Drosophila melanogaster: one gene and its partner. The protein of the gene in region 1 purifies or fractionates together with the protein of each later gene. This does not show direct contact. Each region holds a gene or a part of one and is shown on either strand. Other genes may lie near its edges.

The links.
Region 2: the proteins of Bap55 (region 1) and akirin purify together in Drosophila melanogaster (affinity purification with western blotting, with the first as the bait; one study listed by BioGRID). This does not show direct contact.

What each region holds. Positions count from the first base shown.
Region 1 is NT_033778.4:17,424,670-17,440,208, reverse strand, and holds Bap55 (brahma associated protein 55kD), read left to right. Parts: upstream 1-9,245; 5' UTR 9,246-9,368; coding exon 9,369-9,567; intron 9,568-9,646; coding exon 9,647-10,489; intron 10,490-10,548; coding exon 10,549-10,784; 3' UTR 10,785-10,856; downstream 10,857-15,539. Other genes in the region: EDTP (Egg-derived tyrosine phosphatase), read left to right, coding at 5,234-6,084, 6,151-6,789, 6,854-7,018, 7,079-7,435, 7,501-7,636; Lhr (lethal hybrid rescue), read right to left, coding at 8,045-9,049; Mtap (methylthioadenosine phosphorylase), read right to left, coding at 11,168-11,206, 11,266-12,045, 12,116-12,166; CG6550 (uncharacterized protein), read left to right, coding at 12,788-13,777, 13,838-14,506; l(2)k01209 (lethal (2) k01209), read right to left, coding at 14,623-14,739, 14,797-15,390, 15,450-15,539.
Region 2 is NT_037436.4:7,363,270-7,380,916, forward strand, and holds akirin (akirin), read left to right. Parts: upstream 1-6,573; 5' UTR 6,574-6,799; exon of another isoform or gene 6,800-6,915; intron 6,916-7,070; exon of another isoform or gene 7,071-7,281; intron 7,282-7,530; exon of another isoform or gene 7,531-7,756; intron 7,757-8,437; 5' UTR 8,438-8,565; coding exon 8,566-8,803; intron 8,804-8,893; coding exon 8,894-9,250; intron 9,251-9,311; coding exon 9,312-9,322; 3' UTR 9,323-10,442; downstream 10,443-17,647. Other genes in the region: Sec63 (secretory 63), read left to right, coding at 1-501, 584-762; Sh3beta, read right to left, coding at 1,977-2,839, 2,893-2,941, 3,173-3,247, 4,290-4,715, 5,621-5,665; SMSr (sphingomyelin synthase related), read right to left, coding at 11,325-11,846, 11,911-12,077, 12,136-12,639, 17,352-17,647. UniProt on the Drosophila melanogaster protein: Molecular adapter that acts as a bridge between a variety of multiprotein complexes, and which is required for embryonic development and for normal innate immune response.

The DNA of each region.
Region 1 (15,539 bases):
TTCCAGCGCAACAATTGCAACCAAAGTTGGGTACTGTGGGATAAGTTCGAACAAAATGGGTCAAATATGAGGAATCTATGAGCAATAGAGTTTATGTTGCGCCTTATCAGTCGAAGATTTCAGGATCAATAAGCTTTTAAAAGCTATTTATTGTTTCCTAAAATTATTATTATATCTAAACGTTGAAAAATATATAAAAAGTACATTGAAATTGACAAGGCTAACGCGTTTTTGGTGATTGATTTTTAATGTATACATTATGGTAGCTCGTCAAGCATGCCAAAAATAATTATTTGATGACCTCAGTGTGTAGAGTTGGGAAATGAGAACTGCCATGAATTGTGGGTCAATGATTGTTTATTTATATCAATTATAAAGAAATATAGAAATATAAAATTGTTCAAACTTTTTGTTCCATTTGTTCCACTTTTCTAAAGAGCGCCTGTTAAGATACTCCCACTGTGCGACTTGGCACGACTTGGCACCCTGCACCCTTTTATGACAGCCTGTTGCACGTTGAACTTTGCTCCCACGCGTTTGGATGCTCCTCCCCGCGCCGCCCCCTTTGTAGGCAGTGTGTGTGTGTGTGTGTGCAAAGTGTGTTCGATGATGGCCAGCTGTTTGCTGCAAGGTGCGTGGGTCGCACCACAGACACTTGTGCCAGGAACGCAGGAGTGGAAGTAATCGCCCCCTTGAAGGGAATGGCCAGACGGGAGGAGTGTCTAGCGGAGTGGAGGGGAAGATGCATCTCCGCATACCCGCATCTGTAGCAGTGCGAGCAGCTGCGTTTCCAACATTTATCGGGGATGCAGCAGCAGCTTTTCGGGCGCATGTCCACAATGAAGAGAGCCGGCGAGTTCGATTTGATTAAGGGCCACTCCGATAAAGGGGTTCCAATGCTTCCAGTTACATGCTCATATATATGAACATATGTGTGAATGGATATGGCTCCGCCAGTCGAAGTGCAGTAAGTCGAATCACCCTGGTGCGGAACTCCTTGCGCATTCCGGACTAACTGCCTAGCATCCGGACCCACCATGCAAGCATGATTAGAAGAAGGGCACAACTCGGCATCGCCGTGTTCGCTACTACTCCTTCGATTTTCCAGCTACGCGTGGTTTCGGATGCTGCCGATTTTTAGCCACCAACTTGACATTCATGCTCGCCTGTTCGCTAACAGATAAAATCGATAATGTGCGAAATGGCAATGCCGCTTTACTCAAATATTTGGTGAGAGTTCGGATTCAGATTCGGATTCGTTACGTTGGTTGGGGGATCGGACTTCGTTTGGTTATGACCTAAGCATAAAATATAGGGGATGTTGGCTGAAGGCAAAACGAATTATTTAGTTGTGTGCTTGATTTACAAAGCGCCAACAGGAGCGCAGAAATTTTATTCTACTTATTGATTTTAATTTGTGGTAGTGCTGGATTAAAGCACTGGGAAAAATGTAACCCACATTAAACCCAAGTGTTGCCTTATTTGTATGAGTTAATATATGATTAGTGTAATATTTTCGGATGTAATAGAACTTCATATCGTTTCTGCTAGCCCATGCTGGCATTGCCAAACTGAATCGATTATTCAGATGACCTTCTTTTCGCATCACAGTGAATTGTCTGATGGGAAGCCAGAAAGCGTGAAAAGCGATCGGCGCCTGGCGGAACTCAGTTCTGTTTGTGGCAACTAGTGTGGGCGGGGAAAATCTCTTCCTGGCTGGCTGGCGAATAAATTAAGCAAATGATAAATAGATTTCTGAAACAACCCTGCCTCGTACTCATTATTCGTAACGCCCACTTACTGCGCTCAATTATTGTCATTGCGAAGTGTTTGAAGTGCTTTCAGGCGTTTGTTTGGCAAGCAAAAATCATTTAGCTCTTCAGGGCGGCAAAAAACTCCTCCATTGGATACATCTTCTTCGCATATTATCCACAAAGCGGTTTCAATGCCTTTCGAAAGTTGCCCCACACACTGTCAAGTGTTTTTCTATACCCGTGGTGATAATTATGTACATCTTAAAGAAATAAATGCAAGTTAACTGCACCGGCAATTTGCATACTAAAAGTTCATTAATATCCACAATCGATGTGGATGATGTTGCATAAATTAAAAGAAATGCTAGTCGTTAACGTAAAGATTAGTTGAAATTATAAAAGTTGTGGTTAAAAGTTTTAGCATATTATTTTCAATTCAGTCATTTACATACATATGCGTCGTAATAAACCTTAAAATATTTATTTTACAATGCACAATGTAAACAATGCCTTGTTTTTGGTTGCTTTATGTTGGAAAAGAAAGGCATTGTTTATACTTATATAGATAAATATGTTTATTTATTTAACTTATAATAAACCCAACCGAACTGTACTGCTTATGGCAGTTCCTTGATTTGGAACCTGATCCCAACGCCAACTCAGAGTTTGAAACGTGGGCGCAACTTGTTTTCATATCGGGGGGGTCTTTGAACGCCGACGAAAACAACACGCTGCACATTTTAAAGCGCAAGCATAAATCATGTAAACAAGAACAACGAGAATCAAAGGCGGAACTCCCCTCTCTGTCGCAGTCATTTTGGGTGTGGTCAGTGGCCCCAGTTTAATGCCACTGAATAATTCATTCAAGAAAAGCCATTTCCCTGTCGCCGGCGGATTGATGAATATGCATCGTGTGGCCAGCACCGAGGCCTCCTTCAGTTTTTCAGGTTATTTGGCAAAAAAAAAACCACACAAGACAAGAGTCAGAGCAGGAGCTCAAGAGTCAGCTTATACAGTAAACATAACTTAAGGCGGAATATGACATGAAAATACGTATTAAAAATAAGTGGTAGCTTGGTTGAAGTAGTTGTTGGTCTGAATAGTTTTATTCATTTATACAATGTTGCAACTCAATGGTGTTTACTTGACTACTTTCCATTACGTTCCCCTGAGGAAAGTGCAGCTCCGTTAATGTCACAGTTAAAGAAGTCGTACTGTACTTAATGGGCGACCTCTCCACCCTTTTCTTTTGCTGATTCCCTGTGCTTGGTCGAGTTGGTTCGGTTCGGTTGGTGGTTTTCTCGGTTCGATTGCACACGAGTGCGACTACGATTATTTTCAGCTGTGCGGTTTCTTACCGCTGTTGTTCAGTTTTTTCTTTCTTTCTTCTCTCTTTTTTTTAATTTTTGTAAGCTTTTCTGCTTTATTTTCTGTTCGGTTCCATTTTTCAAGAGAGAGCGAAGAAAAGTGTGTCGCACTCTGCAGCTTCTGCTGCATTTCTGGTGGCCCAGCATCGGCAGAGTCTTTAAAATCCGGGTTTGTGAGGCGAGCTTGGGTTCCGAGCCAGCCTTTCGGTTTGAGTTTCACTATTTGGGTCAGCGATGATGAAAGCGCCAGCGCCGTTCGTGATGTTGATGATGACGATGGGGCTTAATGATCACCACGCTCGCAAACTATTTTCCGCGCTGTAACTAAACGAGCGCGCGTCTGTTTGTTGTTTTTAAGTTTTACAGCGCCTTTGGAACAGGCGCTCAGTTTTTCAAGCAGCGCTGCTGCACTTACAGTTGCACTTGCTCGCTTACAATGAAAAAACGACAGCGGCAGCAAAAGCAACGAAACAACGGCAACAGAAGCAGTGGGCAAGCAGTTCAATGCACACAACAACAGTAGCCACCCGTACATGTGTGCATGTGTGACTTGACTGCTTTGTAACGGCAGCTTCTCCGACTTGGAGCGCACTCACACTCAAACACTCACTCGCGCATCGGCCATCGATGGGGCTTATATTTTCTTTCCGACAGTCCCATCTCTCTCACACTCATCACCTCGCCTGCTCCCGCTCGCATCATCTGTCAAACAGTGCTGCCGAAAGTAGCTGCATGGAACCTCAAAAGTAGCTAAACTCTTTTAAGACTAGCTTTGGCATTTCGAGCTTTGATATTTGCTATTTTTATTTATTATTATTATTATTTTGATCCGTAGATCCATTTTTCACCTTCGTATTAATAGTTCAACCGCTAAAACAGTGAACGCATTTATCATTAAATTAATTTCCAACACTGTAAGCCAAATACTCGATTAAATTGTAATCAATAAGTATTTAATAAATAGTAAAGCAATAGTAGTTTTGTACTGATGTGTTTTATCTTAAACCTATCGTTATGCAATTCAAAAATGCTAAAAATACAATAAAAGCACCATAAAAAGCGATTGGCTTTTGCGTGTTTCCGTCGGCGTTTTTCTTGGTAATTGTAATTGCGTTTTAGTTGTTTTGCTCGTTCGCTTCGCACTGCGCACTTGTGTGCAGTAGTTTTGAGTCCCCACACACAGACACACATGCGCCCCACTAAGTTTTCATCGGGTTTGTTTTGCTCGCTGCTTCGCTTTTGTTGTTGCCAATTTTTGCGCAGCTACGGCGGTCTTCGTCTTTTTATAGTTTTTGTTTTTCTCTCCTCCATTTGTTTTGCACATTTCTCTCTGTGAGCTAGAAACCTGTTTTCCCAAGGTGTTTGTTTTTGCACGAGTCGTTTTATTTTGAGGCTATATTATTATTGTGCTTTTATCTAGTCGCAGTTGTTTGTCTGGGACAGCTGGCTGGGGGCCACGCCCCCATTCGCCGCCACCGCCCCCTTGCTCGCCTTTCCTTCTATTTTTAGCCAGTCGCCTAAACAACCTTTAGAATTCTTTTTGATTAGCACACAAAATACGTATTATTTTGTTTCTTATGAATTGGTTATACTTGTTGTGAATTTATTACTGTATCTCGATGGTTAATTGGCGTTGTAACTTGGCCATTACCCCCCTTAGCTTATCTGTTTTAACCCTTGAGCGGCAGATAGCAACCAGTCGAAGCCGAACGATCCAGATTCCAGTTCTCCTACCCTGGTAGCGTCCAAGTTCCATTGAACTCGGGTTAGGAATGTCTATATAGTATATGTATACACACATTGCGAATGCATGAAAACCAGTTGCACTCCGCGTTCTAATCTCGCTGTCCATTAAGAAGCGTCTCCGGCATCGCTGATTTATGCAAACCATTGACTTTACACACTGCCCGTCAAATACTTAATGTTTACCCGAAGTGAATGGGTACTAAGGTCATTCGTAAATGGATCCCATTTGTGGCAAGAAAAGTTGCACAACTTTATTCAAACGATTATTTTACCACATAATCCTTACCTATTACATCTACTTTTAGCATATATGTATTATATTAACTCCCTATTCATGGTATCCTGATCTTTTTCCTTTCCTTTTAGGAGTACGACATCTCCAAAAAATGCGAATACCTGTTTAAGCTCGACTACAGCCTAATTGAGCTGGATAATACGAACGGATTGCTCAGTCCGCGATATCCTGGCCGAATACTCATCCCGGAATATGAGCACGGGCACATGGCCAAGACGCTGGTACCGGGAAATGGACTCTTCGGGCAAGTTGGTGGGGGAGTGGGAGGTGGAGGCTCCTCGGGAACAACCGCCACTGCCACGCCTCTGAACAGCAGTGCAGGAAGCACCGGAAGTGAGGGTGTGGGCATCCAAGCCTTTGTGACCTTTGCCAATCCCCTGCAGACGCAACAACAGCATCCGCTCCAGCAACAATATCCCTCGCAGCAGATGCATCCCCTCCACGCGCAATATCCCTCCCAGCAGCCACATCCACTCCAGCAGCAGCAGCAGCAGCCATCGCAACAGCAACCACAAAATACGATATACGAGGATCAGTATGATATCCAGCGAATGCGGGAATTGGTAACGATGGCCAAATATGCGAGATGCCGTCAAAGATTCGCCGTGCCTGTGATTATGTATCGCGGAAAGTACATATGCCGCTCTGCCACGCTATCCGTCATGCCAGAAACCTACGGCCGAAAAGTGGTGGACTATGCCTACGACTGCCTGAGTGGCGGCAATTACACCGCGCCAAACGGAGAAGAGAACGATGCTGACTCCACGGACGAGTCGCTGATCACCCACATGCACGACCAGGCGCAGTCGCAGTTCAGCTACGACGAAGTCATCAAGAGTGACATCCAGCTGCTGCATACGCTCAATGTCTCAACCATTGTGGACCTCATGGTCGAAAACCGCAAAATCAAATACTTCATGGCGTGAGTACACTTTAAGATACCGAGTACAAAACAAAAACTGACCACCTGTTTTTTTTGTTCTTTTAGCGTTTCCTCGTCAGAGAAAGCGGATCCCAACAAGCACTATAAGAGCTTTAACCTTCTATCCCTGCCGTATCCGGGCTGTGAGTTCTTCAAAAAGTTCCGGGACAATAATTACATGGCTCGCAACCTGCACTACAACTGGAAGCAAACGTTCAACGATGCGAATATCAACATTCCCAACATGGGACCCGCTGCGGATATCGATGTGGCGTGGTCGGAGTACCGGGATTGGGATCTGGTGGCAATCACCCAAAACTATTTGAGAGCTACACTGAAATACGTGCAAGAGGAAAACTCCGGCCTGCTGATTCACTGCATCAGCGGTTGGGATCGCACGCCACTGTTTGTCTCCTTGGTCAGGCTGTCTCTGTGGGCAGATGGACTCATCCATCAGTCGCTGAACGCCATGCAAATGGCCTATTTCACACTGGCCTACGACTGGTACCTGTTTGGCCATCAACTTCCCGATCGCCTGAAACGAGGCGAAGACATCATGTTCTTCTGCTTCCACGTGCTGAAGTTTATCACGGACGAGGAGTTCAGCATTGTGGAGCACCGCAAGCGCACCAAGACATCCAGCAGCAGCGGCAGTAGTGTAATAGTAATCAAATCCGATTGCTGCGACGATGAACCGCTCAAGGAGTGAGTATAGCCAAAGACACTAGAATTATAGCCAAGTATTGTAAATGAACAGTACCATTATCAGTCCATTTACTTTGAATTGCAGAGACTACATCCTTTCGTTCGATCAAGATAGCAACGACAGCTACTCAAACTGTTCCAACTGTGATATGTCCATAACAGATAACTTCTATGCCACGACGCCGGCGCAAGTCAATCCGTTGACCAGCAGGTCGCCAAATCCGAAGAGGTTGAACAGCTGAATACTAAAATTAGAAACCTGACTAACTGTGAACTCAACTTGTTTTAGATCTAGAACCAGCCCCATTTCAGTGCCCGGATCAAATGCGCGGCAAAGACAGGAGTCTACATCGTCCAATGGTAGCTGGCAGGTGGTTACCGACACGGGTTCAATTGACTCCATGATGAACGGCAGCTACATGATGCGCTTTGTGGCGCAACAGGCAGCCGATGGTGGCGGCTCCTCAAACATTCCTTTATGCAATGGCGGCAATGGTTACCACTGCAGCATCAATGCAGCATCGAGTGGCAGTGGGAGCGGAAGTGGTAGCAGTATCAGTAACGGCAGCTCGACGCACGGTTTCGCAAACGGTTCCTCCAAAGACGTAGGCGGCAGCACTATGGCCAGCAAGCAATGCATCAACTTGTAAGTTGTAGTCTGATTATTCGACAGCAAATACATAATGACATAATTTTGTTTTACAATTGGAGACGAAAGCAACGCCTGAATGCAGTGCGCGCCATTTTTATACAAGCCTACGGCAAGACGATTGGACTGAAATTCAAGGAGGGCTCATCCATGAACCTGGCCACGTTCATTGGGAACCTGGCGGACCAACTGTTTTGAGAAAGGATTAGCAGCTATGACCGTTTGTTAGATTTCATCAACATTGTTTGTTTCTTGTTAAGTGCTACGCTTTCAACCAACGACTGTATTTATAGACCTGTTAAATTGCGTTCTTTAGTATCTGTTGACGATTGTGTAGTGTAACGGATTACTGATTACCGATAAGCATCGAAAGAACCAGGCGATCGTAGGCAACGAGCAAACAAAATCCTGTCGTCCTTCTGCCCCGGCTAAACCGCTCTCCTGTTCTCTAGGTTCTCCCGCTCCTTGTTTGTTTAGTTATTAGTTCTTCGAGAATGCAAAGCAAGTGAAATATAAAATGCTATTTGGATTATACAATAGTTTTAAGTTGTAATTTATAGTAATGTATTTTTTAATAAACTTATGTGCATTTTATACGAAAGAAAGTCATGTTCTCAGCGTAGGCCGCCTTGAGCGCCGTATTCTAGCTAAGGGTAAATAATCATCAATTTCCACTCGCTTCAGCCGGATGCGACACCTTTTAATGTAGTATTTCGCGCTTTTAAGAGGAACGAAGCGTGGTGTTTCTATCGGTCGTTCGTCACATTTTGTTGTATCTTTAATTTTAGGTTCAATAGCTGTTTCTATTTTGATTTTGACATCATTTGATCCTTTGCAAGCATTATTATATCTGATTCTTTTATTGGCACTTGCGACATTGGGTCTTATTTTGTGTGGGCTAATGCCGAATCTGTCCATGGCCGGACTGAGTAAATTGTCTGCTGGGAGCTCTTTCACCCGTATCGCTTTAAGAAATTCGTCGTATTCGCTCTGAACCGTCTCCAGGTCCTTAGGACCCAGCTTTCGAGTAGCTTTCTCTTGGCGCTCTTGCTCCAGGATGAGGGCGAGGACCTCCACTTCTAAATGCCGGCGTTCCGCTTGCGCCATAGATTTCACGAAAGGCAACTGACTGAGAAGAAACTCCTGACACTTGGTTTTCGGCACATCCGCCGGATTCGGGGCTTGCATGCGAATGTGCACATCGTGCATCACCCGCCACAGAGGTTCAGGGATTTGCCCTTTGGAACCGGCCAAGGCTCTGACCAGCGGGCGCAGCTTCACCCAACGCAGCTTCAGTTCACTTACGGAGAACGGAGTACTCAGCTCAACGTGCTCGTAGCTTTGGTTAAAGGACTTGGCCAGCTGATCCCAACCCCAGGAGTCGTAGTCAACGTCCATTTTGGGCTCCACCTGCGGGATGATAAGGAAGGGATACCGGGCGAGCATCTCCATGAGCAGCAAGTCGTTTAAAACAATCTGGCCGCTGATGTTGGTGTTTGATATGTTAATCTCCAAATGGGGAACAGTGGAATGGATCACCGTTTCCTCGGCGCTGTCGGTACTCATTTTAATATTTTTCGCACTGTGTTTCTCCAACGTTCTACAACACATTTGTGTACTAATTCATCCGTATGTTTTAATATACCACTTAACGGTAATTTCTTTAATAAAATCTATGTTTTTAGAATCCGAGTTTTAATTTGTGTTTGCTAACTAATAGCGATGGAAATTGTTTGAGAACAGCAATCGATAGGTAAGCGACCAAAGCGATAGGTAGGAAAATATTTGGCTTAAACAATCGATAACTTATCAGACCATCTCCAGCGAGGAAGAAGCGTCGTGAAAAAAGCCGCAAAATATACACAGACGGAAGTATTTTCGCGAATTACTTGAACACAACGTGCGAAAAAAATAATCGGAACGCCCCAATATGAGTGGCGGCACCATGCTATATGGCGGCGACGAGATCGGCGCCCTGGTCTTCGATCCTGGACATCATTCCTTGCGAGTGGGCTACGCACAGGAGGATTCGCCCAAGGCGGAGATACCCTCGGTTGTGGGGATTGGAGCAGCTCCAGAGACCAATCTCGATCCGGAAACTAAAACAGACAACAATGCCACGCCAAATAGTTAGTTTCTACATCGCCTTTATTTAGTTTATGGCTTTTAAAAACCCGGAAAAACCGGCAATCCCTACCCCTACTCTAGATGCTGACCAGCGCAAGTTCTATGTGGACACCAACTACGTGACCGTTCCCCGTTCCAATATGGAGGTGCAGACCTATATGAAAGACGGCATGATTGACAACTGGGACCTGTTTGAGAAGGTTATTGATTATGCCTACGCCAATGTCATTCAGTCGGAGCCGGAATACCATCCCGTGCTCTTTTCCGAGGCATCGTGGAATGTCCGCAACAACCGCGAGAAGCTAACCGAGCTTATGTTCGAGAAGTACAATGTTCCAGCCTTCTTTCTGGTAAAGAACGCCGTTCTGGCTGCCTTCTCCAGCGGGCGGGCCACCGCTTTGGTTGTCGATAGTGGAGCCACCCACACCTCGGCCGTTCCCGTCCATGAGGGCTATGTCCTATCCCAGGCGGTGGTTAAGTCACCCCTGGGTGGAGACTTCCTTTCACGACAGTGCCGCCAGCATCTGGAGAAGCACGGCATTGATCTGTCGCCGGTATACAAGATTGCCTCCAAAGACGTTGTTAAGGAGCGCGACAACGGACGCTTCACGCTGCGCAAACTGCCAGAGAACCTAACTCAGTCGTGGCAAAACTACATGTTGCAGCTCATGATGCAAGACTTTCAGATGAATGTGCTGCAGGTCCTAGAAAATCCGTTCGACGAACGGGTTGCTGCTCAAATCCCGACGGTACACTATGAGTTTCCTAATGGTTATCATCAGGACTTTGGCTCTGAGCGGTTCAAGATAGCCGAGAGTCTCTTTGACAATGCAATGCTGGGAGCTGGCCAATTGGCGTCCACCAGTGTGGGCATGTGTGATGCGGATGTGCGGCTGTCACTTTTCGGCTCAGTTGTCGTTACTGGTATGAATTTTCCCTAGGTTTTAAAACTAATTACTTATACCTTAATATTTTGCTCTTAGGTGGCAATACCCTTCTGCAAGGCTTTCCGGAGCGCCTAAATCGCGATCTCCAGCTGCGTGCCCCCTCAAATACGCGCCTAAAAATGATTTCTGCCAATGGCAGCGTGGAGCGAAGATTTGGAGCCTGGATTGGCGGCTCTATTCTAGCCAGCATAGGTACTTTCCAACAGATGTGGATATCGTCGCAGGAGTACGAAGAGGCCGGCAAGAGCCAAGTCGAGCGGAAGTGTCCGTAAGGACAGCGCAATCGAATTCCAATTTTAATTTTAAAGACGCAACTCTATGTAATAATATAAATGTGAAATGTGAAAAGTGTCCCATTATTCAGAAGACATCTGAGCGTTTGTTTAGGAATAGATTGCATTTGATTACGGAAATGTTTTTAGTTACACACATATGTATATATTTACTGCGACGCTGACGCGGACGTTACAGTTTCACATTTCAATGGAGTTTTCACCGGCTGCCTTTTGTCTTTCGGATCTAATTCGTACGTAATGGATATGGAGTGAACTCTGGGTCCTCGCTTTTTGTGGAACTGTTGATAGAGCGGTGGCACATAAATCTTGCGGCGAATCAGCGTCTCTTCTGTTATTTCGTGGCAAAGTTTTATAAATCGTCACATGGCTCCAGACATTGTGTTGTTGCAAACGCATTGCTATGGGCGGAACACATGATGAACTTAGTTTTAAATGATGTTTATCTCGGCTCACTCACCTTGGCATTTAGTATGTCCTCCGACCAGTCCTCCTTGGCAATTCGACCAACAGCGTTGACCAGAATCTTCTTCACCTTAATTACGTTCTCGGCAAAAGTACGGAGGACATCCTGCACGTTGACACCCTCGCAACCCATGCGCCAGCAGTCGTAGTCCGTGGCAATGGCCACCGACCCGTAAAGTAGGCCAGCCTCCTTGGCTAGCACCACTTCTGGACACGTGGTCATGTTTATGAGGTCCCCGCCCCACTGACGGAACATGTGGCTCTCCGAGCGAGAGGAGAAGCGCGGACCCTCAATAGTCACAATGGTGGCCTTATCGTGGGCGGGAATCTCCAGCTCCTTGGCCGCCTGAAGCAGAATGTTGCGGGTGCGTTCGCTGAATGCCGGAAACATGGGCAGGTGGCAAACACCACGTGGACTTTGTGCCTTGCCATCGTAGAAGGTCTGAAGGCGTTTAGTAGTCCTGTCGATAAAGTCGTGTGGAACAACCAGGTTGCCCGGCTTGATTTCCTCGCGCAACGATCCACATGCCGTGGAGACAATTAAGTGGGTGCAGCCCACATCGCGTAGAGCCCAGATGTTGGCCCGGTAGTTAACATTGGAGGGCATGATGTCGTGCTTGCGTCCATGACGCGCCAGGAGTACGCACTGTACTCCATTGATCTCGCCTTCAATCAATGCATCAGACGGTTCTCCGTAGGGCGTCTCCACCACACGTTCCTGCCGCTGTTCCAGGATATCTGGGTCGTCAAGCCCCGAACCGCCAATAATACCAATCTGTGGGTTATTTATAGTTTGGCATTGAACAAAATGGGGTGCTTAATTTTTGGACGGACTACGAACTCACCTTGACCGGAAGCGGGTCCAGATTGGTGTCTTTACATTTAATCGTAATCATGGCTAGCGGAGGATTGTGCTTTTACAAGCTGCTGTTGCGGCAGTCTGGAGCAGAGTAGAATGTTCCCGCTGATAGCGTACTGATAACTGTGTGTCTACACGGTAGGGTGCATAAGCCGCAAAAGCTCGGGCATATTGAAATGACACTCAGCACGTCGTCGTGGGTGTGTAATTATGGTAATTGAATTATGTTTGCAAAATTTTGATTTTAAATCTTATAATAATAGTTATGACAAATTAATATTTATAATTATTCATTTTAGAACAAAACTAATCATTTGATAAAGAATCAAATCAATCAAAATTAAACTAACAAAGCCCTTCTAATTATATTTATTACAACTTATATCCATATCAGTTCCGAATAAAGAAAATAGGAAATTGGAACATGGAATAAATTATTTATTGTATCATTTATATAACAAACTTAATTTGTATGCTTATTTTGTAGGGTGTCTAAATGTGACAGCCGACCCTGTTATCGAGCCGTTAGTCGGGTACCCTACCCGTATGCACTTCACAACACTGCCTGAAGTGAAGAAGAAGAAATCTGAATGTAAACAGCTGGAAGTGCGGCACATGTGTTTTGGCATAGAATCTAAAACAAGGAGAAGGAAAAACAATGTACCACCTTGGACAGGATCTGCCAGGCAACGATGTGGATGATATAGAGGATCTGATATCCGCCGATGATGTCAAGCCGCGTGAGCGCTACGAAAACAAAAAAACCGTTACGGTTCGGGCCAAGAAACGATCCCAAATTCGACTTGAATCTCAAGAGGAGGAGGAAAAGCCGAAGCCCACGATCCACGAGAGTGTCATACCCGGCACCCAGAAAGTTTTTGTGAAAACATGGGGCTGCGCCCACAACAATTCGGACTCGGAGTACATGGCCGGGCAGTTGGCTGCCTACGGATATAGATTGAGTGGAAAGGAGGAGGCGGATCTGTGGCTGCTCAATAGCTGCACGGTTAAGAATCCTTCGGAGGACACTTTCCGCAACGAGATTGAGTCGGGAATGCGAAATGGCAAGCACGTCGTGGTTGCCGGTTGCGTTCCCCAGGGAGCTCCCAAATCGGACTATCTGAACGGTCTTTCCGTAATCGGTGTCCAGCAAATCGACCGAGTGGTGGAGGTCGTTGAAGAGACCCTCAAGGGTCACAGTGTCCAGCTGTTGCAAAACAAAAAGAAGGTCCATGGTCGGCGGGTAGCTGGAGCACCACTCTCATTACCCAAAGTCCGCAAAAATCCATTAATAGAAATCATATCCATCAACTCTGGATGCCTAAATCAATGTACCTACTGCAAGACTAAACACGCCCGCGGTGACTTGGCCAGCTATCCCCCGGAGGAGGTTGTAGAGCGCGCCCGCCAATCGTTTGCTGAAGGCTGCTGCGAGATCTGGCTTACTTCCGAGGATACAGGAGCTTATGGTCGAGATATTGGAAGCTCATTGCCGGAATTGCTCTGGCAACTGGTGGAAGTGATCCCCGAGCACTGCATGTTGCGTGTAGGCATGACCAATCCACCGTATATACTGGAGCATCTCGAGGAAGTGGCCAACGTCTTGCAGCACCCGAGAGTCTACTCCTTTTTACATGTTCCTGTACAGGTAAGGATCGAGTGTAATATATATAAATATTTTTCGATAGTCAATTATTTCTTTTTATAGAGTGGTAGTGACTCTGTGCTGGGCGAGATGAAACGAGAGTACTGTCGGCAGGACTTTGAGCACGTTGTGGATTTCTTAAGGGAACGAGTTCCCGGTGTCACGATTGCCACGGATATAATTTGTGGTTTCCCAACAGAGACAGAAGACGATTTCGAGGAGACGATGACCCTTTGCGCCAAATATCGCTTTCCCAGTCTGTTCATCAATCAGTTCTTCCCTCGTCCGGGCACACCAGCTGCTAAGATGGATCGCATCCCCGCAAACCTGGTGAAGAAACGAACTAAACGTCTCACGGATCTCTTCTACAGCTATGAACCCTATGCGGACAGAGTGGGTGAAATATACACCGTCTTGGTCACAGAAGTTTCACACGACAAGCTCCATTACGTGGGCCACAACAAGAGCTACGAGCAAGTACTGCTGCCCATGCGGGATAACCTTCTTGGTACTCGTGTCCATGTGCGAATTACCAGTGCGAGCAAGTTTAGCATGGTGGGAGAAATTTTAGACGACGAACGCGATTGGACGAGGTGTGCAAAAAATCAGGAGTTACCAAACGTTCAAGTGCAAACCAGGAGTCGGGAAAGACTAATCCAACGCTATTTTGGCATCGCTTTGGTGTTGGGAAGTCTTGCTTTCCTCATACAGCTTGTAGTTCGACTCTTATAGCCACATCAATAAAACATCTCGTTCCAAATTCATAATTTAAGTAACGTTTTGAACTTAACCTAAGATACATTAGAAACTTGATGGTTCCATATAGGTATGGATTGGCCCAGATCTCCTTAGTACTCATCAGAGGGTTCCGTGCCAAAGTAGCGATCGCCAAAGTTACCAATGCCGGGTATAACATAAAACTTACTATTAATCTCCGGATCCAGAGCGGAAGTAACAATTTTCACCTACATAAAGAAGAACATAAATAAATGCCGGCTTTTGGAATTTAGTGTCAATCTCACCTTTGGGAAGGCATAGGCAATGGAGTGCACACCGATCTCAGCCATCAAAAGCGAGGCCAAGATAATGTTGTCCTCGGGTACATCGTGATCCAGCAGCACCCGAATGGCCATCATGGCCGCTGCTCCTGTGGCCACGGTGGCATCCATTAGTATCACCTTGTAGTCTTTTATGTCTTTAGGCAGCCTCAGGTAGTAAAGCTCCGGCTCGCCGGTCTTAAGATTGGTCTGGATGAGGATCTTTCCGATGCGAATGTCCTTGCACACATCACAAACGGCTTGTTCCATTGTTTCACCAGCTCGGAGAATTGAGACGCCGCATATTTTTCGCGATTCCATACGCTTGCCCTCGTAAAGGACACCTTGTGGAGTCTCCACTGTTGTTTTCTTAAAGGGAAATAAGCTTAGCGCATATTCAATGACTAGCCGTATCAGGCGCTTTGAGTAAAAAATAAACTCATCGCGGGACGTATTTCGGCAACGGATGAACGTGTGCAGGCCCTTTATTTGGGGCGTGGGATGCAGCAAGTGCAGAGAATGTGGCATTGGCTGGTCCTTGTAGGAGTTGGCCAGAGTTTCGCGCAGCTTAAATCCGCGCTGGAAGACAGACAGACAAATTAACAAGGTGAACAGCACCGCAAGCAGGCAATTCATACCAGTTGCAGCTGTGTGTGCACGTGCTGAACAATGAGATGGATGGCCACCTTGTTGTCGCCTCCACGAGGAACAATGATATCTGCATGGGC
Region 2 (17,647 bases), on another chromosome or scaffold:
AGGGAAAGGGTGGTAAGAAACCAGCCCAGAACCAAAAGAACCAGAAGAAGGTGCCGGCCAAGGCTGCGACAACAGCTACGATCACGGCATCCGAGGATCAAGCGGCGGCGGGTAACTCCGATGCCGAATCGGAGGCTGGAAATGCGGATGGCAGCGATGTGGAATCGGCTGCCGGCAGTGGCAGCGAGGATGAGGAGAAGGGCAAGAACAACTCCTCGCTGGACGACGACGATGACGAGGAGTGGGAGCGACTGCAAGCTAAGCTTAACAAGAGGGAGCGTCTCGAGGGCAAGTCTCGGCTGTCGCACACCGTCCACTGCCCCTACTTCCCCGAGGAGAAGCAGGAGTACTGGTGGACCTACATATGCGATCGCAAGTCGCGCACCCTGCTCACAGCGCCCTATCATGTGACCAATCTGGTCGAGAAGGAGGAGATCCAGCTGAAGTTTACCGCGCCGCGCTGGCCGGGCGTCTACACGTTCACCGTTTGCCTGAGATCGGGTGAGTTTCTAAAAGAGTTTGGATTGCATAGTACATTGGCATTCGAAGGGGGGATTCTCACACAATGTTTCCTCTGTTTCAGACTCGTATTTGGGTATGGATCAGCAGCAGGAGCTGAAGTTGGATGTACAGAAGGCTCCCGCACCACCGACGGATCATCCTCAGTGGGATCTGAGCGAATCGGAACCGGAGCACACCGATCAGCAGGAGAACCTGAGCGACTATACAACAGATACGTCCGATGAGGAGGACGGCGAATAAATCCACTGTCTACATGGACAGTGCGACGGACGGACGGACGGATGGATAGACGTCCTGAACCCCAATCAACCTCAACCTCCTCTCTAATTCACTGGGACGGAAGAGAAGCCTCTTTGTTTTCCTTTTAGTAAATGAGTTTCGCGTGGCGCGTGGCGGAGGCACACCAATGCGAACCCTTCCTTCGCATTTTTACTAGTTTTGTAATGGAAAAGACCCCGAACTAGTGCGTAAATAACTATAACTTCATTTTACCGTGTACTGTACTAAACATAATTATAATGTACTGTATATTTAATTATTTGGATACAAGAACTAAAAGTGAGACACGTAAATACAAAAGTCTATTGATATTACTACTCTTTTGTTGTGTTATAAACTGAGAAAGAAAAACCCACGGGCTTGTTGCTACTTTCGCTCACTTTAATGCTGAATTAACATAAATTTACTGCACAATTTGCTGAATTTCTAGATTAACATTTTATTCAATTAAATAAATAGCATCACAATTACTTTAATTTAAACCATTCAAGTTATTGACCACGCCTAAACCTTAGCAATTTTTAAGTTTTTTTTTTTATTACATTTTTGCTAAGCCTTTGGATAAACTAATTGCTTACAGCTTTTAGAATTTGAATATATTTTAGCGCAAAAGTAAATTAATTTTGTAATAAATAAAAAACGGTTGTATCATTGTTAGAGTATCGACACATAAAATAATAAATCAGCAAAAACAAGTGAGAATTGCAACAAGCCCGAATAGTTTGTGGAAATCATAAAAATAATTTAAATCAAAGTTGGCGCTGCCTCTGTCTGCGCTGACGTCGACGCCTACTGCGCAGCCGCTGCCCGCTCGCTGTCCAATAAGAGATCCGATTGGGAATCTGAAGTCTTCTTAGCTGATGCTGCTGTTGTTGTTGTGGTCGCTGGTAACTTCTTTCATTGTTGTTGTAGACAGCAGCGAGTTTTTTGTTGTTTGTTTTGGGAAAGGAGTAAAAATTGTAAATAAGTCACATAAAGGCCTAAACTAGGGTTCATTACCCGTCACCAGACTCGTTATTAGTGGGTTCTTGTTTCTATTTACAAAACATTTTTGGTATTATTTGGCTAAATGTGCGTTTTTTTATGTGCGTGTGTGTGTATGTGTGCGTTTTGTGCATTGGTGTTTGTGATGCGGATGTCAGTGCGTTTTTTGTTGTCGTTCAATCGATTTTCTTTTACTCTTCTTCGCTTTCTTCGGAAGAGGAATTCTCGCCATCCGGTTTGCTTTCTTCATTTTCGGGCGTGTCTTCTGTCTTCGTTTCTGCAGGTTTTTCCTCGTCGATTGGTTCTTCCTCTTTGGTTTCCTCTACAGATCTTTCGGCAGTCATAACTTCTTCGGGCTTTTCTTGAGCCTCATTTTCATTAGGATTTTCTTTAATATCTTCAAATTTTTCGTTTTCCGTACTTACAACCTCGGATATTTCAGTACTACCAACTTCCTCGACCTTTTTGTTGGTCTCATTTTCTTCGAATTCATCTTTCACATCCTCCGATTCTACAACCTCATCATCTTCGGTACTTTTAACCTCTGATTTGGTAGCACTATCCGAGTCCGCGGACTCTTCTGTTGCATTTTCCTCGGTCTTTTCTTCAACATCCTCGTCTTTATCATTCTCATTGACTTTGGTGCCTTTGGTGTCATTTTCCTCCGTTTTTTCCTTGGAGCTTTCGGCCTCTGATTCTTCAACGGCATCAACTTCCTCGGACTTTTCTTGCGTCTCGTTTTTCTCCGATTTTGTATCCCCATCATCATTGGTGGCCTCAACATCTGGTTTCTCAGTAGTGTCAGCATCCTCCGATGTTTCTGCGGTCTCCTCACTTCCCTCTAATTTATCTTTAACATCCTCGGATTTTTCAGTTTTATCATCCTTAACATCCTGGGAGTTTTCCTTATCATCTTTTACAATCTCGGATTTTTCATCCTCATCATCTTTAACATCCTCGGATTTTCCAACCTCATCATCTTTGGTACTCTCAACCTCTGATTTTTCCTTGGTATCCACTTCCTCAGACTTTTCTTGGGTCTCACCTTCAGCGTCTTTACGGGGTAGAAATTTTGATTAGAGTCTAGGGACGATCTTCCTACTTTACCTGTAGTTTTCTCCTCCGTTTTCTTGTCCCCAGATTCTTCGGTTTCAGTCTTTTTGTGGGTGGTGGGATTAGGGGTGCGAATGTTTTGTGGGTTGTTGATTGGTGGTTTTTCGTTTTTTTTTTTTTTTTGGGGGGGGGGGGGGTAAAGTGGAAGTTGTATTTACAAGATCAGACAATCGCTAGGCTACTACAGTGCAAGAGATCATGCCTTTGTTAGCTCCTATAAGCTCTAAAAGCCTAGAGTTATGGTTCGGTCATGCAGGATCTATCGATCTATTACCTTTTGCTCGGCATTCTCTTCATCTGCGTCTTCATCCTCGCCCTTTGAATTCTCCTTGTCCTTGCCGTCTTCGTTCTTTAGAGAATCACTCAATTGTTAGTAATGTTTTTACATTACGAAACTGTTTCGAAAAAGTCGGTCTTTAAGGCAACAAAATTGCTCAAGAATATTGAAATTCACCATATTCCTGTACTTTTCGTGAAAAGTTTTTTTCGTCAAACCTAAAGACCAACTTTGGAAAATCTCTCTATAGATATTTGGTATTAAAAAAGCCTTTTTGTAAATTAAGTTGTCACATTCTCATTGTTAAACTAGCCGTTGATAAGTTGGTGTTAGAGTTTGAGTGTGTTGCATAGTGTTAGAAAAACAAGCTTGCGATTGGTTATAGTTTTTTTTTTTAGTTAATACAAATATATTTCCTTTTATTACAGGGGCAGCGCTTTTTTATGTTTTAGCATTAACATAACGGCTGCACAATAAATTTCAGCTCTCTACACTACTCCAACTTAGGCTTAAGTGCTCCGAGTAAGTATTCCGAGTCCTTATTACAGGTGTGTATAAATGGTACATACAAGTTGTTTGGATGTCAGTTAATGAATATAAATATTTTGATTAAAATTGTCTTTTCACCGGGGGCCAACACAATCGAATGCCCTCGTTTAAATACGCTCATGAACTTAGCTTAAGAACCGCAGTAGTCATAATGAATTCGTTAAAAATTGAAAGATCTTCGATTTCATGCTCTACCGATGAAGGTCTAAAAAGTCTCTAAATAAATCTCGTAGTTTTAAAAGTTAGTTTTGTAAATTTTGTATAATTTAAAAGGAAGATTGCACTTCATATTCTGCAATTATCTATACAACTCCCCCAAATCCCTATGGGCATAGAAATCGAAGACGGGCTCCATAAAATATTGATATATGTATGTAGAAAGTTGGTAGTATCTGTGCTGTTAGGTAAACATTGGGTGTTATTTCTGCTGTTAAGTGTAAGGGCTTTAGTTTCAAGACATTGCTGTTGTTGTTAATTCTATTGCTCTGCTGCAGATGATTGCTGGCTGCGTTTGTTGCGTCGTAACAGTTAACGGAAAATACGTGAAAATAGCTCAAGTTCAAACCTCGGCCTTCTCAGCAGCCTCCTCCTTGACATCCACATCGCCATCGCCGGCCTCCGTTTTCTTATCCTCCGCCTCCGTTTCCGCCTCCTCCTTCTTGGCATCGCCGTTCTCCTGCTTCAGTTCGATTTGGGCGGTACTAACTGCCGTGGTGTCGGCTGGAGCCAGCTTGAGGAACACCTCCAGGGTATCGATCTCGTTGGCCATGTCAAAGGCGTCGTAATCACCGCAGTACTCGTCGTCGTTGAACAGCTGCGGAGGAAGCGGATGACGGGGCTCTGGATCGCTGACCGTTCCACCGTTGCTTGTCGATTTGTTTTGCATCAGCTCCTTCTCGGATTCCTTGCCGGGCTCCGTGATGTCCACCGTGTCGTACTTGATGTTCTTGCTGTCCAGGATCATCAGAACGCGCTGCTGGCGCTTCTTCACCTGTAAAATTGGATTTCGACGGTCAGTGAAAGCATTTAAATTTGAAAAGAAAGTTAAAAATTAAAGTATATAAAATACCTTTAACATGTATCGTTTTGTTCAGTGTAGCTACCTTTGACAACGCTGTTAATTACAGCGATGACAAATCGCTAATGAAGTGTTACCGGCAAGCCCAAACGCACACAAGCGCACACAAAGCCAACTCCCCGCCGATATAAACATATGTACGTAAAAAGAACGCCAGAACCACGCGATATGATAAGGCTAATTAAAATGGTTTGTTGCACCCCAGCATTTATCTTACGATAAGAATATGTGTTTCCCAACGCTTTTTTAAAGTGTACAAAGACAGGACAAAAACAAATAATTGTGAACCGTACAATGACCGTTATGTTTTTGTTCTTATTGGAAGAGGAAGATTGCCAATTGAACAAAGGCACCGAAAGAGTGAGAGGGGGAAGTGAATCACCCCTCACGCATGTACACACACACACACATGCACACGCACCCACGCAACTGCGATCAATGGAAATCCCTCTCTTCCATGAACAATTTACAGTTCACAGTGGAATGAGCTTATATGGGCAATGAAATGTATGTTTGTTCTGCTTCTTGCCACCACTAACACTCGCACACAAGGGCACTCACGAAAATACCCACTTGTTTTTCTTTGACTGTACAGACATACAGACTTACATACCACACACTACATCATCATCATTGTCCAACTCACGTACATACACACAAAGACGAAACGCAGCAGAAGAAATAGAATTTGCAATGCGTTCGTCACCACTTTAGTTTGCTTCTTTTCCTTTTTATCTGTTTGTCGCTAATACCAGGGCCAAACATTCCAATAACATGACACTATTTCGGTTTTAAGCCCGCCACGCCCACAAACTCACCTCCTTATTGCCGGACATGCCGCTGACGTAGACTTTCAAGACCATTTTCGCAGATTACTGTGTCCTCGCACCGCAAATGAAATAATATTTTGCAACTAAAATCTGCTGGCTACTTTCACGGCGATTAAAAATATTTATAGATCTTTTCTTTTCCTGCTTTCTTCCGTCCTGCGCCCCTACGTAATGTTTTTCCACTGGTGACGAAGGCACACGCACTGGGCAAGGTCGTTGGTTTTATTGGCTGTAAAAACGGCAAAGACGCGGATAAAAAAATTGCCTGGCGACGCTTATAAAAGTGCAAAAATATTTGATATCAGGAGTGGAAAATATTTCCTACTTTGTCGTTGAATTGAATGGTGGGACCGCGCATTGACGGCTATAGAAAACCTTCCGGCTTATCAAATATACTAAATATGATGCTTGATTAAAATACTAAAAACTTTGAACTTAAGTGATATTTCAAAATTAAATATTTTTAAGACAACTTAAATTTTATTATGCTCCCATGTAAGGTTTTCATTTTTTAAACGTTCTTCGATTAATAATCGTAATAATAAAATAATAATTTATAAAAAGCATAAGATAGGCTTTTTAAGGTTTTTTAAAAGATAGAAGAAAAGGATTCTTATTATAGAACAAATTATTTTTAATTTGGCGTCGATGAGTTAGCGGCTTCAAGGAACGGTGGAATTTAGAACATGAGGGTGTTTTTTATTTATTAATTTTTTGTTACTTGGAGTTGAATTCCATAAAAATAAAAATGCAATAATGCTAACTTTCTACAAACGACTTAAGGTTATAGGACTCAAGAAAGTACATAGAATATGCAATTGAAAAATGTTCTCCCCAGACTTTTCGGTTATTTGAAGTTTTTGCTATATTTGGTAGAACCATAAAGTATTTTTTGGTATAGATCCGTTAGCAGGGCAACCAATATTAGCGGTCGCCATGCGGTCACTCTGTTCACGTCCCGTCACGCAAGCATCGTCGTCCATTTTTGCTAAGAAGCGAGACGAAAATTTGTAAATTATATCTAGCGAGTCGCCGAGGACGAACAACTATTGACAGTGCATTTCAGTGGCCTTTGGAATACTGCTCAAACAACCAGCAAGCAATAACATTACTTATATCTAACCGAAAACCTAAATTAATCACCCAAACTGAAGTACGGACGTGAATGTAAGTGGGTATGTGCCAGCGGACTAGTGGCACAATAAAAAAGTAAATAAAGCGCGTGTGAAGTGGTGCAGAAAGCAAAAAAGCAGTCGGAAGGAAAAATCAAAATACGCATTAATGTAAGTGCGATTGTTGGAAAAGCTGTTTAACTTTTTGTTCCTCTGAAAAGCTGATAATGATATGCGATGCGACCATTTTTAAAATTTCATGAAATCAACATTCCAACTCACAACGGTGTGCGTGTGCGTTTCTTTGTGTGCGTGCGTGTGCAGGCTAGAGTGGGACAACCAGTGTGATCGCTTTGGCTGCTGCCATTTCGTTTGCTTTTTTTTAAACTAATCTCTGGCATTTGTCACGTAAAAGAGTATAACGTTAAACCCAAAAACGTTTTGTATATGGCTTTAAATATTTAATAATTGTGGGCAGAGACAGCAACACCAGCAGCAGACGCATACACACGTGTTGCGGTTTATCGAGAGGGCAGTGTGCGTGTGTTAGTGCGGAAAACAGCTGGTACAGCTGCCGCTGCAGCGACGAAGAAGAAGAAAAGAAAGAAAGGGGAAGAGTGAGAAGAACACGCATTATTATCCTGCGTAGTTTTCTTTTATCGGTGGTTGTTCTGCTATTGGGTTACAGTTTACACTTTTCTCTGTTTTCTTTATTTTCCCTCTGCATTGCTATGCATTTTGCCTTTGCGTGGTGGTTTTTTTTATTTTCATTGTCGGTCGTCCTTTAATTGCGCTGCGCCACTTCGTTTCGTCGCTTTCTTTGGCTGGTTTCTCCTTCTCTTCGGAGTTTCTGGATTCGTATTCCGATTCGGTATCGCCCTTTTCCTGCGACAACAGCAGCTGGGTGCACGGTATCGGAGCTGTCGGCGATAGCCGAAAGAAGCTAGAAACCCCAAGGAAGCCAACATCCTTTTAATTGTCGTGGAAACTATAATAGTCTCATAAAAATTAGGTTTTTAAAATGGTTTTGTCATTCTATTCTAGAAAAAGCTATGAATATAAGAATATAACAATATGTTTAATTGCTTACTAATTTTATTGAACAATATAATTTAATCGTGACGAAATGGGGGAAAAAAAACATTTTTTTGTTGTCTTGAATTTTTTTTCCTCTCTTGTCATGATTATTTAGGTAAAACGGACGTCATCAAAGTCATTAAACTTACGCGAACTTCGCATTTAAAAGTTTTTTACTGGCATTTCTATTTTTAATAGCTTTCTGGGGAAAATATCGGATAATAGCTTTTCAAATTATGCATTGCTAGCAACTTTGACTAGCGAAAAGTATTTACTAAAAATTTTTGTACCTTCCTATTTTCGGCGCTCTTTTTAAGCAAAGGCCCTTGTTTTGTAGCGTTGAAGCCTCAAATTATTTCCAAAATCACGCCCCATAAGCGATAAGATAAGAGAGCGTACAATTGTTGCCCACGATACATACAAGGCGAGAAAAAGTCCAAATTGCCAGCATTGGCGGCCATAAATCGCTGCACCATTTTCTTTTATCGGCTGCGTGTGCGTGAGTGCACGCCTGTGAATCCTGTTTTTTCCTTGAAACCAGTTTGCGTCCGTCTTTTCTTTGCCAGCAAGGTGTTCACTTCACCTTACTCATTCATTGTTTGTTTGCCCATTGCAGCCGACGCTTGATCTTCCATCTGCAGCATCCATCATTTGGAATCGAGGCAATAATCAGCATCTACCGACAATCAAGCAAGCCATCTATCTATCAGAAGACCACCGGGTAGTAGAACCTCAATCATAGCGATGGCCTGTGCAACCCTGAAACGAGCCCTAGACTGGGAGTCGATGAACCAGCGGCCTCCGAAGCGCCGGCGTTGCAATCCCTTTGGCCAGGCTGGGAGCAATGCAGGTCCAGCGTCGCCATCCCGCGACGGTCCCAGCACCTCGGCTGGTCTGCCCCACACGCCCAGCAACCGATTCGCCAAGGATAGCACCGAACCTAGTCCGTTCAGTGAGTCGTCGCTGGCCAAAATGTCACCAGGTTAGTAAATCAGGTCGATGCTGGAAAAGGGACGTCGGATTCCTTTTATGCATATTACCTTAATACACCTTTCTTCTTTTCGAAACACAGACAAAATGGCCGAGAGCTTGTGCAATGAGATCAAGAGACTGCACAAGCGCAAACAGCTGCCGATCACTTCGTCGGCCTTGGAACGCATGCAGGATTCGGAGTCCAGCGGATCGGAGATGGGTCCAGAGAGTCCGCGCCGCCCGGACAGTCCACAGAACCTGATGCGCCACGGCGAAAAGGCCCTGTTCACGTTCAAGCAGGTGCAGCTCATTTGCGAGAGCATGATCAAGGAGCGCGAGAATCAGCTAAGGGAGCGCTACGAGTCCGTGCTGACCACCAAGCTGGCCGAGCAGTACGATGCCTTTGTCAAGTTCACATATGATCAGATACAGCGTCGCTACGAGGCAGCGCCTAGCTGTGAGTTCAAGTTACCATCGGTCATGGTTATAGTGCTAATTACATTATATTTTTATTTCAGACCTGTCGTAAAGCTGTGTACACAGCTGTAGCCTCAGAAAGAAGAAATTAATAATTGCACTACGATCTTATGTGACGGTAGATCTACCGCGACAACAACAGCCCTCATAAACTATAACAAACAACAAATAAGGAAACTAAAGCAAACGCAAAACAAACCAACAAAAAAAAAAAACCTAAAAAGCAAAAAACCTAAAAACAAACAAAAAAAAAAAAACAAACTACAACATACATCGTGTTTAATATATTTTGAAATACACGCGAAGAAAACGGTTATAGTTTATGCCTAGATTTACATATATATATTGTATCGGTTAGCAGCAAAGGGATGAATTATTTAAAAGCAAGCAAAAACCACAAAAGAGAGAAACCAACAAACCAACTTGTTAAATTTATGTTTTTCACATAACGCAAATTCTAAATAAAATGACAAATATCAAATTATGAACTATATGAACTATAAGCACACCGCCACTGCAGACATATACATATGGGTGCATCCGTAGAGAGAACGATTCAATGAAACCTCAAACGTAGCTTCGTACATAACAGACCGACAGAATTGGCAAATATATAATGTTAGGCACATGATGTAGCATATAAGGTATGATGTAAAACCTATCAAACTACATATATTGTTTTTTTGGAAATTGTAATTTATGAAGCGAAGCAACAAAGATAACTCACAACTCATGAAGAACACTTTTCATAGTTTATTTTTGCATATTAGTTGTAACACTAAGGCGAGAAACGAACGCTTGAATTTGCCTATTTTCTCGAGTATCGTTTGTTAATTGTTTCTTCCTTTGATGCGAATTATTGCAAAGTAATGTAAACACACAAAACAATTGAAATGTTTCGATTTGCTTTACACCATACAAAAATGAATAACGAAAAGAAAAGGCAAACAACAAAAAAGGTATAAAAGTTATTCATTAAGTTAAATTGAACGCTTTCTTATAAAATACGCTTGACAGAAGATGTTTCATGTTCATTGCAATTATTTTTTCACACCTTGAAGAATATATACGAGAATATATGATATATATATATATATATATTTTTCAATTACCGCAATCATACATACTACTTTATATTAGTAATTTAAACTTAAAATTAGTAAAGAAATGCCATTTTTATATTAAAACAAACAAAAATAAAATGATGAATTGTAGATGCCCGCTGGTCTTTTCTTTTTAAAGCTTTTTATTCTGTTTGTGAAGCGAACTCTTAATTTCATCCGTTTATAAACCACAATATTCTTTTTTTTATACCAACCCGTATTATCCGAATAAAACTCAATTGGTTCTGGTTGCTCCAAATCCAGCTAATGCTAAATGATTAACCAGGTTTTTCAATATAATTTGCGAATCTAGCAAAACTGCCATAGGTGGGGAAAAGACTGAGCAAAATGAGAGATACCTTTTGTGCAAAACTTTCCATTTGTGAATAAAATTATGAATAACCTTTACAGTGGCTTCTCCAGACTCTGAGAATATTCATTTTGATTTATTTAATGTGTTTGTGCGTTCAACAGAAACTTTCCAAACTTAACACTAGTTAACTAAAAATACGCTTGATTCACATGCTTACAATTACATAATAATGCATTAAAAAGTCTTCAATAATAAATACATTTAGTTCAAAACTCAATTGAACGGAATGAGGAGGGCTATCTTATCATCATAATCAATTCAAAGCCGACGTGGAGCATCTCCCGGCTAAAAAAAACTTCGATATTCATAAAATTCCACAAGTAAACTAAGGAAAGGCTCTTGGGGGACACAACGACTTTCTAAATGGTGGGTGGATGATCTGGGGGGATCTGACCCGGAAGGCACTACAAATGGTAGAATGCTGTCAATAATACAGGGGAGAGCTGTGAAAGGAAGGGGATCGATGGAAATTTCGAAATAAAAATATCAGTCGGTATGGTTAGTTTCTGCATGTTTGCTTTTCGAAGAGCGACATCGATATCGATATACGAATGTGGAAGAGCGAATGGCTGTGAGAATCAGAGATGCTTCTTTTCCTTCATCGGCGAATCCTTGACGTTTTCTGCCTGCTGGACCGCAGCGAACGTCGTGCGCGAAAAGGGATCCACACTCGCATCCCTGAAGGTCTTCTTTTGGGTCGGCAAACTCTTGGTCGGCGCCGATGTAGCTGGTGTGGGTGTGGAGGACCCGGATTGGGCGCTATTCAAATGCGTCTGGCTCCTCTGACCACCCAATCCTCCGATCAGCGACTGGTGAGGACTAAAGAAAGCGGCCGATGCTGTGCCATTGCGCAAACATTGTTCAGATTCTCCGCCAAACATGTGAGCCGATGAATTGCCGGACAGCGGGGCATCCAGCCAGCAGCGCTTCACGGATATGGCCAATTGATCCTTGGCCTTGAAGATCTGCTCAATAATCCCATCGATGAGGGAGCCAAGTGTATCGTATTCATTGGGCACCATTCCATCGACACTGCTCTCGAAGTAGCTAAACATGGGAAACCAAACACGCGTCCTCTTGGAGTCGCTTTGCATGAGAGCCTGTGGAAATAAATTATTATTAGAATGCCCTTTCTAAACAAAAACGAAGCTGTTAAATGCTCACCCTGTTATTTGCTAGAGTATGATAGTACAGAAACAGACGTGAGGTGATATAGAAGGCCACAAACACATCGATGGAGTAGTGCTCGTGGGCAGCCAGGATGAAGAATATGCCAAACATGTTGAGCAGCCAGGTCAGCGTGTGCAGGAAGTACAGATTCCGCGGCGTGTCTGAAAGATCAGAGTGTAAGTCAGTAAGCAGCATAGGAAATATAAATAAATAACACACATTCTGTGATAAAGAAGTTGAGCAGGGTCAAGGCCACCGTGTGACCACTAAACATATAATCGCCGCAGGTCCGCACTCCCTGAATGGACATGCCCAGGCCGCTCCAGATGCGATAGGCTCGTGACATGCGGATAATCAAGGCGCCCACCATGTCCACATTGGGATCATCGATGGCAAAGTCCTTCTGGCTGCACTGCAGATGCGTTCCCGGTACGCTCAGCGACGTGATCAACATGGTGACGCAGCGCAGCAGGAAAACCGTGCCCGCCAGAGCAAAGAATCGCCTCAGTAGGACCAATCTATACTTGTGGAAGGTTAGCACGACCACCCAAATGGTGAACAATAGTGAGCCGGTTATTTCGCACATATTAAAGGCCCACGGAATATGCGGCACGTTGTCCAGGAAGATGTCCGGCAGCGGCGGATAGCGCTTCATATCCGGAACCCGCTCGTGCACAATAACCATTGTTAACGATGTTATCCAGGTGACAACGAACGAGTAGCCTGTTGATGGTACAAAAAATATGATGTTACCATGCGGATTTAGAGTGTGACTAATTTGGCTCAGCAGGCGGAAAAAAAATAGTTATGGAATCGGTCATTTGCAACCATAATCTATAAACTCTCTATATATAATTTCTAAAAACGTTTGTATTTCAAATTGATCTCAAGATGTCGAATTTATGAAGTTGAATCACAATGATGACTAAACTTGAGATATCAGAGCAAATAAACGTATGTACTTTATTCTGATAGTCATCTTTGTTTGTATAATAATTTAGTATATAATGCGGAAACCTTTTAACAAAGAAAAGGAAACCATTTTATTTTCGTATTATTATTGGTAGTGTGTTTGACCCCGTTCCGAAAGTGATAAAAGTGTAATATTTACTACCAAAAGAATTATCTTTCAGCAGCTTTATCTGCCAAAATGTAGACTTATCTATTGAAATGGCCATGACAATAGAAAAACAAGCATAGTCTGTAATGATAAATGCATTATCGAAATAAAAAGCCACTGATAGCAAATTAGCCTAGATAAGCCCATTGTTTCGTTTGAACTTTGATCACTTAAATATTATAACTCAAGTGAAACATTATTTTACAGAACAATCCTTTTTTGAATAATCAGCTAAAACTTGTCAGATAGATAAATAAATACATAACATAATACATAAAATTCAACACTCGATTGGCTACTGTTTTTAGGTTTTCCTTTGCCGTTCAATTTTTTGAAAATTTACCCGTTAAGTAAAACCAGCCGTTTGAAGGGTATCATAAACAAATGGGAATTTGAAATTTAATGCACGCAAAGTTACACAAAAATAACAAAACCAGTTAGCCAGAATGAGAGGCATATGAGTACACAAATAAATGCGAGCGGCGTCTACACAAATAACCTCCGAAGTGCTCAAAATAAATAATAGTAACGCGTCGCCAGTGACCAGTAAACATTATTAAACTTAGAGTGTGACGTATCTCTAGAAGTCATAGCTAATGAACCCATGAACTCGAAGGTAAATTCGTTTACTTTCGTAGAATAGGTAGTAGTACAGAAACTATAAATGGGATTTAATGACGTATGGTCTGATTAAACATTTATAACACGCGTGACATTGAAACCATTATTATTGGCCTATCGCTGAGGTAGTGATTGGATTGAGTGATATACTCTAGAATTAGATTTACTAATTAAAGCAATGTTTCTCACATGGAAAGCGTTTATTTCTGGTTACAGAATTTTAGAATTATTAATGCTGGCAGACATGACAAGAACTAAATGTTTAATGTTTAAAAAGATCAAAGTGTGATATGTATGATATTTTTTCGTAGCTTGTTGGGATTATTAAGGCAAATGATAGCAAAAGTCTGATAAAATGGAGCAGAGGTTTATATAATATATTATTTCCTTTGAAAGTTAACTGCCATATGCCAGAGCTTCTTATCTAGATATGCATATGTATATAGTGACGTATTTGGGTGGTCCAAACCAGCCACTTCCATTATTTCAAAGAAATCAGTAATGCACTCTAGTAATTTTCCATAACGTATCCCAGCTGCGCAGCATTCGTTTATCTTTGGCAGCGCAGCCGTTCTTGTAAACATCCTAAAGCCTGACCTAAGCAGATTTGACTGCCCTCTTTCAACGCTACCTAATCTTAAGAACCCAAGAGCGAGGCTCTCCCGAAATACAAATATTGTTCAAATACTGAGGCTTCTCCTCAATCCAATTTGCATTTGATTTTTAGTCTTAAGCTGAGATCCAAAGAATAAAGTCGTGAAACTATTTCTCCTAAAAACTATTTTTTATTTCTTGGCGTTGTCCTTAGTCAACTGACGGGACATTAGTTCGACTCATAAATAAAACAACAATTTTACTGGCGCAGTCGGTAGGATACAAAAGTATCCGAAAAAAAGAACCTTCGAGTGGAAAATAAGTTAAATTTTATAGTCCAGTGCTCGAAACATCTCCCAAAATAAATTCGTGAAAACTCTTCAACTTGGATTATAATTCCAATTCGGTTATCCAATAATAAGTGGAAGTGAAATACGAAACAAAAATATTAAGTCCAAAGGCAACTAAGTTTTAAAACCAACATATAAAAATAAAAAATTAAAACAATATAGAATTTTAATAATACAACACAAAAATTTACAAAACAAAAAAAAACAAACAAGTGAAACTAGAAAGCTTAAAAATAATAATAACATTGAATCCGAAACAAAACAAAAAAATAAAACACAAAAGTTAAAAATTTTACAATAAAAATGTCACAACCAATTATTGCGCTGAGCGACATAAACCTTGCCGAAGCCCGTCGGCAGCTTAAAGACATTATGCCATTCAAGGGTGATCCAGAAACCCTTCACACCTTTATCAGCAGAGTGGATTACGTAATTTCGCTCTACCAAACAAATGATGTCCGACAACAGAGGATTCTACTGGGAGCCATCGAAAGGAACTTGGACGGACAAATTACACGATCTTTGGGACTTCCGAACATCGAAGATTGGCCTACCCTTAAAGCAAGACTCATCGCGGAATTTAAAATTCAAACACCAAACTACAAACTTCTGGAGAACTTCAGGGAGACACCATACAGAGGAAGCCTAAGAGCATTCTGCGAAGAAGCGGAGAGACGACGTCAATTACTAATTTCGAAACTACACCTGGAAGGCACCTGGTACCCGATAACACTATTGTTTATACTGATCACAGCTGTTCATGGACAACAAATTCAAATTAATAATATTGACACCAACCACGGATATCTCCTTTTTTCTGATAAGCCAGTACAGATACCATCCTCCTTTGAACATCACTCCTTAAAAATCAATTTAACTGAAATAGACATCGTGGTTGACTATTTTGAGCAAAGACTACGAACCGATTACCATGCACCCCAGATCAATTTTTTATACAATAAAATAAAAAGAGAACTAGCCGGAATAACCCTGAAACATAGAAACAAACGGGGTCTTATTAACATTGTGGGTTCAGGTTTTAAATACCTATTTGGAACACTAGATGAAAATGATCGAGTCGAAATACAGAAAAAACTTGAAATCAACGTCCATAACTCAGTAAAATTACATGAACTCAACGACGCCATACGATTGATAAATGACGGAATGCAAAAAAATACAGAATTATGAAAATAACCACACCATCATTGACAGTCTTTTGTTCGAACTAATGCAGTTTACGGAATACATAGAAGATTTGGAAATGGCTATGCAGCTTTCCAGACTTGGACTGTTTAACCCCAAATTACTAAACTACGACAAACTTGAAAATGTGAACAGCCAAAACATTTTGAACATTAAAACATCCACTTGGATTAACTACAATGATAACCAAGTATTAATCATATCCCACATACCCATTTACCTTTCACTAATAAGCACAATTAAAATAATTCCTTACCCAGACTCCAACGGCTATCAGCTAGATTACACAGACACACAATCATATTTTGAAAAAGAAAATAAAGTTTATAATACCGAAAATAAAGAAGTAAAAAATGAATGTGTCACCAATATTATTAAACACTTAAATCCAATTTGTAATTTTAAGCCAGTACACACGAACGAAATAATAAAATACATAGAACCAAACACAATTGTAACCTGGAACTTAACCCAAACAATTCTTAACCAAAATTGCCAAAATTCAATTAATAAAATAAAAATAGAAGGAAACAAAATGATAAGAGTAACGCAATGCAAAATAGAAATCAATAATATAATTTTAAGTGAAAATCTGTTAGAACCAGAAATAGATTTGACACCACTATACACACCACTTAATATAACAAAAATAAAAATTGTAAAACACAACGACATTGTTGAGATGATTTCAGAGAACAATATTACACTTTACATACAAATGATCATTGTAATAATCGCACTAATTTTGTTGTACTCATATTTAAGATATGTATCATTTAAACCATTTATGATGCTGTATGCAAAACTTAAAATAAGAAAAAATCAAAATCAAAACACACCACAACAAACAGAAATAGAAGAAACTCCATTTCCCACACTATATCCATCAATCCCAGCCCAAGTATAGGCTTCTCTTTAAGGGAAGGGGAGTGACGTATTTGGGTGGTCCAAACCAGCCACTTCCATTATTTCAAAGAAATCAGTAATGCACTCTAGTAATTTTCCATAACGTATCCCAGCTGCGCAGCATTCGTTTATCTTTGGCAGCGCAGCCGTTCTTGTAAACATCCTAAAGCCTGACCTAAGCAGATTTGACTGCCCTCTTTCAACGCTACCTAATCTTAAGAACCCAAGAGCGAGGCTCTCCCGAAATACAAATATTGTTCAAATACTGAGGCTTCTCCTCAATCCAATTTGCATTTGATTTTTAGTCTTAAGCTGAGATCCAAAGAATAAAGTCGTGAAACTATTTCTCCTAAAAACTATTTTTTATTTCTTGGCGTTGTCCTTAGTCAACTGACGGGACATTAGTTCGACTCATAAATAAAACAACAATTTTACTATATATATACTACATAATAGTCATACCCATGGGGAAACCTCTTACTTCTCGGCTATCGCAAGGAAAGTATATGCCTGAACTGCGCTATATAGAGAAAAGCGAAAAGCTCTCGAGAATTGGCACACGACCGATAAGCCCGCCGAAGCAATCAATGGACAATTGACCTTCGTAATTGAAGGGGGGCAGGTTGTGGACCACTCACCTAAGCTCATGGCGGTCTTGAAGTATTCCGGCGGAACATAGCGTCCGCCCATGCGCAAATAGGTATCGCAATCGGACACATAGCTGGGGCATTCGGCCTGCGGACAGGGGCACGTGGATGAGGACGGTGGACCGCAGCCGGTGCTGGCTAGTGGCATGTATACCGAGTTCCCGTTCCCATGGCACTCGATGCCCAGTATTACGGATTCCGCAGAGCTGTTCTTCACCAGTAGCTGCAGCTTGAGCACGGCTATCCAGAATTTCTTGAGCTCGCCGAAGGTGAGTTTGTAGCCCAGT